Linked DNA regions of Mus musculus. The main gene of each other region encodes a partner of the protein of the gene in region 2 in a complex. Links are inferred from orthologs where the notes say so. Each region holds a gene or a part of one and is shown on either strand. Other genes may lie near its edges.

Region 1 (4,534 bases), on a different chromosome or scaffold from region 2:
CATAGAGAACCTCCTGCCTCTGTCTCCTGAGTATAAGGATTAAAAGAACGTATCACTGTGCCTGGCTATTGATTTGTTTTTGAGACCAGGTTCCATGTAGCCTGGCACAGCCTCAAACTTATCATATGCTTTTGTCTTTCCTGCCTCTGTCTCCCCAGTCCTGGGATTATGAGCATGGGCCCCAGCGCACCTGGTTTATGAGGCGCTGAGGATCAAACCAATAGCCTTGTGCATGCCAGGCAAGCACTCCTCCAACTGAACTAGAGCCCTAGCCTTCAACTAACTTACTTTCTTTCTTTCTTTCTTTCTTTCTTTCTTTCTTTCTTTCTTTCTTTCTTTCTTTCTTCCTTTCTTCCTTTCTTCCTTTCTTCCTTTCTTCCTTTCTTCCTTTCTTCCTTTCTTCCTTTCTTCCTTTCTTCCTTTCTTCCTTTCTTCCTTTCTTCCTTTCTTCCTTTCTTCCTTTCTTCCTTTCTTTCTTTCTTTCTTTCTTTCTTTCTTTCTTTCTTTCTTTCTTTCTTTCTTTCTTCCTTCCTTCCTTCCTTCCTTCCTTCTTTTCTTCCTTTCTTCCTTTCTTTTTTCTCCTTCCTTCCTTCCTTCCTTCCTTCCTTCCTTCCTTCCTTCCTTCCTTCCTTCCTTCCTTCCTTCCTTTCTTGCTTTCTTTCTTCTCCCCCCCCCCCAGACAGGGTTTCTCTGTGTAGCCCTAGCTATTGGGGAACTAACTCACTCTGTAGACCAGGCTGGCCTCCAATTCAGAGATACACCTGCTTCTGCCTCCTGAGTGCTGGGATTAAAGGCGTGTGCCTCCACCATCTGGCTTCAAGTTTCTTATAATTCTAGCATGGAACTCAGTCTCATGAGCAAGTCCATGGCTGTCTTGTTTATGGGTGGCTCAGTAGCCCCCACCCCAGGAAGCTATGCAATAAGCATGAGTTATATACTAACGTATGTCTATATATGCATTGGCTAAATACTATATCTAAACCTAGTGAGTTATTAGACAGGCAGTTGAAGCAAAAATACATTGTTTTTTACATTCACATGGAAATATTTTTCTCAACTTAATAGTTAATAAAACAAAATAGAAACATGCTTTCTCTTCTCTCATTCTCTTCCCACCCTTTACACACATACACATAGCATACACACCTAGACACATACACACATACAAACACACATTGATACATGCACACACATATACACACATAAACTCTGTTTATAGGCTTGACAAACATAAGTTAAAAAGAACTACTTCAGCTTTCAGTACTTGGGAGCCTGAGGTGGGAATATAAAGAATTCAAGGCTAGCTAGCCTCTGCTACATAGCAAGTTCCAGGCTAGCATGGGTTACATCGCAGGCTCCTACCCTCCTGACAAACTATGAGTCTGGAGTGTTTCCATGCATGTTTAAGAGGTTGGAAAGGAGACACTTTGCTTTCCACTCTCAGTTCATGTCCCACTGGCTCTGGATTTTCATATGGTCACCAAGTCATACCCTTCTAGCTGCTTCTTGGGGGCCATCCCTGCCTGGCTAATGATGAAACTAACCGACTACTTCATTGAATTGATATGAAGACAGCCAAGAGACGGTCTTATGAGCCAGTTTATAAGCCAGTCAAGTAACACCATTTCTAACGCAATACCACCTTTTTAAACTACGCCGACGCAGCCTGCCATAAAGAAATGCGGTTCCCATGAAGCAAACGCACTTTCCCAGAACTGAAACATGGACTACCCATTTACCTGGCTTCCTGAGCCCTGAAAAGACATTTACTATTCCACCACAAAATAACCACTATCCAAGCCCTGTTGCTAGTCTGAAGTGCAACCAAAGACAGCGTTTACAATATTCCAGTCTGGAAGCCGTCCATTAATCCTCTTTACCTGTGATGACAACGTCTTGTTCCCGAACTTGACCAGCCACAAACGTCAGTTCACAGGGAAGGCAGGGCCTTGAACTTCAACTTGGCTGTAGAACGTTAAAGAAGGAACCGGTTACAATATGTTCTCTGGATCTCCCCCAACTCTCCACCACCTTGGGAAAGTCACTGTGACCCTGTTGCCTGCAACCACTACAGTGTCCCAGGGTCGCCCAAGAAAGTTCCGTGCTCCTCCCCCAAGGAGCCTTTCTGCTTTCCTTAGAGGAAGGGAGTAGGTTGGGGTTGGGGGCCCGTGAGCACCCCAGTGGCAGAGTGCCCCCAAAGACATTATATACCACCGTAGATTTTCTTTAGTATCTGAACATTCTCTCCTTTAAATTAAAAAAAAAAAAGTTTGGGAAAAGGAGAGGTGCAGTTATTTCAGGCTAGTTGGAGTGGATATTGGGGCAGAGTCACCCTCCGGACTAGCACACGGGCACTCCCGGCTCCCTTTACCCATATCAGGCCAGCCGCGCAGCCACTGCACAGAGGAGACTAAAGCTGGCCCCACACAGGACCCGCTGTGGCACTGGCCTCTGGAGGGCAGAGACATAGGGTAACTTTGGCATCGTCTCTACCCTACTGTTGGGGCCAACATCGCCCCACTACGATCAGGAGCAATGAGGAAACTAGTGTTCAAAGAGGGTCCGCTGCTGTTGACTCAAACCCACCGGCAGCGTTTCTCAGGTCCCCAGCAAAGCCTAGGCTGTGACCCCAGAATCAGTCTGTCAGGGAGCCTCCAGTTACCTCTCCTCTAAGTTCCCCGAGGGTCTCAGGAAACGCCTCCCGGTGAGATACGCCCAAATGCACCACGCCGTGAGAAGGGAGCGCCCCGATGTCCCCGCCCGTGTGCCCTCCCCTCCAGGGGACAACCAGAGGACCCAGCGTCGCTCCAGTTCCAGGACTCCACGAACCCTCCAGCCCCCAAAACAGCTGCGAACACCAATGTTCGGAGCCGGCGCACGGCGCTCCAGGGGACTCGAAGTGGCGGACAGTTCCGCGGGCCCTGAAAACTCGCACGCGTGTGCCCTTCCTAGCGTGTGCCCTCTCCAGTGGCTGTGGGTCTCCAGACCCGCGCCCCTAGTCCGCGCGCATGCGCCACCGAGCCCCTCCCCTCCCTGTCCACCCACCTCACTGTCCCGGGACAGGGGACGCCTGGCTCCCCGCCCTCGCGCGTGCCCTCCAGCCCCTGGGCACCTGAGGCTGCACTCCGCCTGCGGGTCCGCAGGGCCAAGCGCGCCCAGGAGGAGGCGCCAGGAGGGGCGTAAGCGGCTGCCTCCGCCCCCGTCACCCCTGTCGTGGGACCGTAGCGTCCGGGGCCCCGGCCCGGCACCGCCTACGCGCGCCCGTGCCAGCCGCGCCCCCACGACACGCGCCGCCCCTCGGACGTCCCCTGCGGGGTCCCGCGGCGAGGTGACCGCCCCGGAAACTCCGCCCCCTAGGCCCGGGCCCCGGCTCAGGGCGAGACACACCCCCTGGACGGCAGTGTCTGATTGGCTGCTGCGGGGGAGGGCGGGGCCTAAGAGGCCCGGGGCAGCTCTCCTCGATGCCCATTTAGTGCCTCGGGGCCCGGGCATCCGTTGGTAAACTGAGGCGGGTTAGGTGAAGGGACTGCCCAAGGTCACCCGACGGGGGAGAACAGTCGGTGGGAAGGGTGCGCCTTGGCGCGCACTCCCTCCTGCTCCCAGCCCCGCGCACCGGCCAGGACTGAAGTTCAAGGCTGCGGGTCTGGGTTGAGCTTTCCTCCGGGTGCCCTCGTTGAGCTGGTCTAGATCGCACAGCTTGTTCCCCGAGTCCCGGGAGTTCGTGGGGAGGTGGACGGACAGGCGGAATCTGATCTTTAGAGTCCCAGGATGAGAAATGGGGAGAAAGGAAGAGCGAGCTGGGGCACGCGGCAACAGGTGGCCAAGGTGCCAGGGTGGGTGTGGCGGGCGGGGAAGGCAGAGGCTGAAGGGCATCGAGGACGGTCGCAGGGAGGCGCGGCCGCTCTGACCCACCCTCCGCCTCTGCCCCGCCCCGGGCTGTGGCCCCTCTGCATACGCTTCAGGGGTTGAGGGGCTGACTGTGTCCAGCTCAGGCACTGGGGCTCTGCCAACTGACAGCGCAGGCGGGAGGCTGCAACTGGGAGCAGGCTGCGACCCAGAGCAGCCGCTTTGCTTGTGTCGTCCTTGGATCTTCAGTCACGGAATGCACATGCCCCCCGAGGTGCCAACGCCCCAGGACGCCGCTCCTTTGGGAACGAAATGTGTGCTATGCCAGCCCTCCTGTCTGTCCTCACGCTGGGCCTGCCACTATGCTATTTGTGGCGATGAGCGCCCAGGAGAGCCTACTAGGGAAAGGAAACTTTCAGCGCACATCTCCTTACCCTGGGAACTGGAGACCAGACCCTACAGGCACATTCAGGGACGTCTTTTAAACCCACCTTTGCTGATCAGCCTCATACCTGTGGTGAACTCTGCCCCACCTGCCAGACACCCACAGAACATTCCCTACTTGCCTACTGGCAAGCTCGCCTTTTCTTGCACGCAGTGGCCAGGAAATAGCTACTATTTGTATTATGCTTCGAAGCTTGCAAAACTGAGACCCTGGAGATGGTTGAATGGGTAAAGGTGCTTGCTA
Region 2 (3,800 bases):
CAGCTTCACAAGCTCCCCAGACAACTCCACATCTCTGCTCAAGGCTAAAGAGTTTCATCTCGTGGCCATTCAGGTAACCTCGCGCTCAGAACTGCGACACCCTCGCCCACCCCTTGCAAATCTTTCTGGAGTCTCTCCAGGACGAAGCTGGTCCCATTACCTGGTGTGACGAGAGAAAGCAGAAGCTGCTCTCCCCCCAAATCTGCCTCCAGGTTCCTGCCTTGCATCCCTGCCCTGTCTTCCCTTGGGGATAGAGTGACCTGAGAGTTGTAAGATGAAGTCACTCCTTTCCTCTGCACGCTGCTTTTTGTTGTGGTATTTTAATCACAGCAATAGAAGAAACCCCTTTCTAGGTCTAGTGCTCACAGATGGGATGCTCAAACTAGCTCCTGATGCACCGCCCTCCCCCAACCCCCGGGCTCTTATAGGGTCTGTTCACAGCAGTAAGCAATTCAGAACCAAGCCCAGGTGTAAAGCCTAGCACTGCTTTTAGTCTGGGTGTTTTCCAGAACACAGATCAAAACCACAGCCCTGGGCTTGACTTTATACATTAACACCATGTTGCTTCTCAAGTATGTAGGTATGCATGTTCGCATAAAAATCTATCCATTGACAAACACAGGAGGAAACAAGGGTCAAGTTCATTAGGCTATAATGTCTCAGGGGGCCAGATTGTGGGGTCCCTGCTGGGCTTCACTTGCTTCAGATTGTCCATGTCTTGGGGAGCCCATCTCATGCCTTCTGACCAAGGCTGGGCTGCAAGCGGAGATGCAACCTAAGCCTCAAAGCAAACTCCTGGGGCTCCTCCCCTCTGGTACCTAATGGCTGCTCAGATATCCCTCTCCCCAGGGCCACCAAGAATACCTGAAGTTCTTCCGGGTGGCTGGTGACCAGGAGCTGCAGGACGAGGAGCCGGAACTGGAGCGGCTTCGGGAGCAGAGCTGCCGACTGGCCTTACTGGGTGGGCTCTGGTAGGGGCAGTGATCAGAGCAGGGAGGGCTGACCCCTGAGTCCTCTCCTTCATCGTCCTCTTCCCCTCCCTCCTCCTCTTCCTCCTCCTCCTCAAGCAGGAAGCTACTCTCGCCACTGCTGCTGCTGCTGTCCTCAAATACGGTGTCATACTCCGGGCTTTTACAGGACGCCAGGTCTTCACCTTCCAGAGCAGTCTCCAGCAGCCCAAAGTGCTTTGTGAGACTGGCACGGATCTCATGGTCTCTTAGCTGCATGCTGTCCTTGTGGGTAGGGTCACAGTTCTGGTTTGCCTCCCTCCTAGGGGCCTTTGTTTCCGTTGGCAGAGGGGCACCCTGCTGGGCCAAGTCTTCAAGGTGGACCCCGATTGGCTCCCAGGACCGCAGCACCTTCCTCTGCAGGGCAGCCTCTGGCCTGAGCACCTGGCAGTAGTCGTGGTCTCCAAAGGAGCAGGAGAAGGGGCGCTTCTGGCCAGCCTGTGAGACTGGTTGGGTTGTGGCATGCTGCAAATGGGACAGGAGCTCGCTTCGCTCTGGGTGCCTCTTGGGCAGCTTGTGGGAAGCTCCTGGGGTGGCTGTGAGCGGAAGAGCCTCGGGGGAGGGAAGGCTGGGAGCTGTGTCTTGGCCTGGGCTGAGCTTGGTGTCTGGCTTGAAGGGGTCCTCCTCCATTGGCTTGTATGGAGGTGTGGTGGGTGGCGTGAGTCCTGCCCAGGCAAGAGGAAAAAAACAGGTGAGGGAAAGGCAGGTCTTCTTGGAGGACATTAAGAGTTCTGTTTGCAAGGACACAGAAGTGGCCGTGGGTCACAAGATCCCTTATAGGTGGGTGGCTTCGAATCACTAACTGGTCTGTACTGCTGCCTAAGCCTGTATGTAGCCCAGGGGTCCTCCTGTTCATAGGAGCTGTCATGAGATGGAAGTCAATGGGCATCCCTTGGGGACTTGGTAATGGCAGCTAATGTGTCTAGGTCAGAGATATCTGTTCCTACTCTACTGACAATCATTTAAAGAGCCCTGCCTGAACAGAGGAAACAGTGCCATTGGGAAAACCAACCATTCGGCGTCTCTGATGCTACTCAACCTGCCTTTGTCTTCTGGTCTTCCCAGCACACCACAGGAACATGAAAAAATACCCACTTCTTTCTCTCCATGCCTTCCAAAGCCTACAGGATGGGTGCCAGGCTCCTCTATGCCTTGGTCCTTTGGGGACCGTTATTCCTTTCTTCCTACGTCTTGCCTTTAGATAGGACCATCGGACCAGTAACCCTGATGCACCCTGTACTCTCATTCTTTTGTGTCTTTACTCATATCAATTCTTCAGTTAAACACATCCTTCTTTGTTTTCCAATGCCTGTTGGTCCTTCAACCCCTCGGCACTGCCCCATCCTGGGCACTCCACCATTTGACCAGGCCTCACTGACCTTCTGCCTTAATGAGCAGACAGGAGCCCACAGCTAACCATTCTCCTGAAGGTTTAGCCTCACCAGACTGTGGTCTTCTCCAGAGCTGTGTCTTTGTTTTCTGACCTCAGTAGCCCCTCAGCTGCAGGTACCAGCAGGTGAAGGGCTGGCCCCCAGGCCCTGACCCCCCTTCCCAGTATGCTCCTGGTGCATCTCAATGCTAGAGTAGTTCAGGGGGGCAGTGGTCAGTTCATGAGGAGATGCACTCCCGCCCAGGTCATGCAAGCTCCCCACAGGCACCCCACCAGCTGAACCCCTAGCTCACCTGCCGTGCCGCAAAGCTCCACCGTCAGGGACTCCTCAAAGCTCTTCTTGCCAAGAGAGTCGCTGGTAGAGGAAGGGAGGACAGAAAGGAAAAAGGCTGGTCAGTAGGAGGGCTTCTACAGGCCCAGACTTTTGAGGGGAGCAAAAGGCACTGTGATAGACCCTGGGTCTGCCATGGAAAGAGAGAATGTGCTGAGGGGCCCCATCCTGGCTGTTAAAGAAATTTAAGTTGCAGTTTCTGGAAGGTTCGGACAAAGTTTGATGTAGATTCCTTGATTTGTAGATTGAACAACTGAAGCCCAGAGAGGGAAGGAACTTTCTTCCAGGACCCCCAGCATCATAGGCTTCTAACCCCCATCTCCAAGAGTACCCTCTAGAGTCCTGGAGATGCCAGCTTATGAAATGGCTTGACTCTCTGTCTTTCTCCTCAGCTCAGAGGCTCCCTTTTAAAACTCAACCCCCTTGGAAGGAGTCTGGATCCCAAGGGCTCAAGATAACAACGAAGGCAGGCCCTGAGGATGGGGGCCAGGCTCAGGGGCTGATAGCCTCCCACCCAAATGCACACATCTAAGACAAAAGCTCATGGTATAGTAGACTGATAATTTTAAATCTACCTTTGTGACAAGGCCAGCATGAGGCACCTGGAGGAGTCTGAAAAGACAAAAAAGAAAATAAGATTCCCCACATACACCATTCTCCCCCTTTGGGGAGCCCTCACATTTCCGGGGGCACCAAGGACAGATGCCCTTTAAGGTGACATATGGCCATCTAAGGGAAGGATCGGGTGCAATTCAAATCCATCTTGCATGGCTGGGGCTCAGCCAGCAGATCTCCTCACTTTGCAGAAATAGCAGATGGGCCAGGCAACCCTTGCTGGCCAAACAGTGCAGCACGGTAGCCATGCACTGAGGCCAAGGCTCCAAGCCCAAGCTGTGATTCTACATGGTTCTAGTGACGGGCCCTTCACTAACAAGCTCTGAGCCTTGGGCCTCCATCTCTGTTGGTTATTTTACTTGAAACAGGTCTGCATATGTAGCCCAGACTACATATTCTATCCTCTATCAAATTCTATCCTCCTGTCTCTGCTTCCTAAGTATTGTGCCTAACTTTA

What was found.
Region 1: the proteins of Ppargc1b (region 2) and Ppara are in contact, whole or in part, in a crystal structure (PDB 3SP6), measured with the Homo sapiens proteins. The link is inferred for Mus musculus from reciprocal best matches to the Homo sapiens genes PPARGC1B and PPARA. Residues at the interface, in NP_573570.3 of Homo sapiens: Ser154, Leu155, Leu156, Gln157, Leu159, Leu160, Leu161, Thr163; in NP_001001928.1 of Homo sapiens: Val284, Thr285, Thr288, Glu289, Lys292, Phe297, Leu302, Asn303, Gln305, Val306, Leu309, Pro458, Leu459, Glu462, Ile463.

The regions. Positions count from the first base shown.
Region 1 is NC_000081.6:85,734,225-85,738,758, reverse strand, and holds the start of Ppara (peroxisome proliferator-activated receptor alpha), read right to left. Parts: upstream 2,984-4,534; 5' UTR 2,663-2,983; exon of another isoform or gene 2,587-2,662; intron 2,566-2,586; exon of another isoform or gene 2,372-2,565; intron 1,966-2,371; 5' UTR 1,881-1,965; intron 1-1,880. UniProt on the Homo sapiens protein: Ligand-activated transcription factor. Key regulator of lipid metabolism. Activated by the endogenous ligand 1-palmitoyl-2-oleoyl-sn-glycerol-3-phosphocholine (16:0/18:1-GPC). Activated by oleylethanolamide, a naturally occurring lipid that regulates satiety.
Region 2 is NC_000084.6:61,306,343-61,310,142, forward strand, and holds part of Ppargc1b (peroxisome proliferator-activated receptor gamma coactivator 1-beta), read right to left. Parts: intron 3,341-3,800; coding exon 3,304-3,340; intron 2,753-3,303; coding exon 2,691-2,752; intron 1,673-2,690; coding exon 865-1,672; intron 1-864. UniProt on the Homo sapiens protein: Plays a role of stimulator of transcription factors and nuclear receptors activities. Activates transcriptional activity of estrogen receptor alpha, nuclear respiratory factor 1 (NRF1) and glucocorticoid receptor in the presence of glucocorticoids.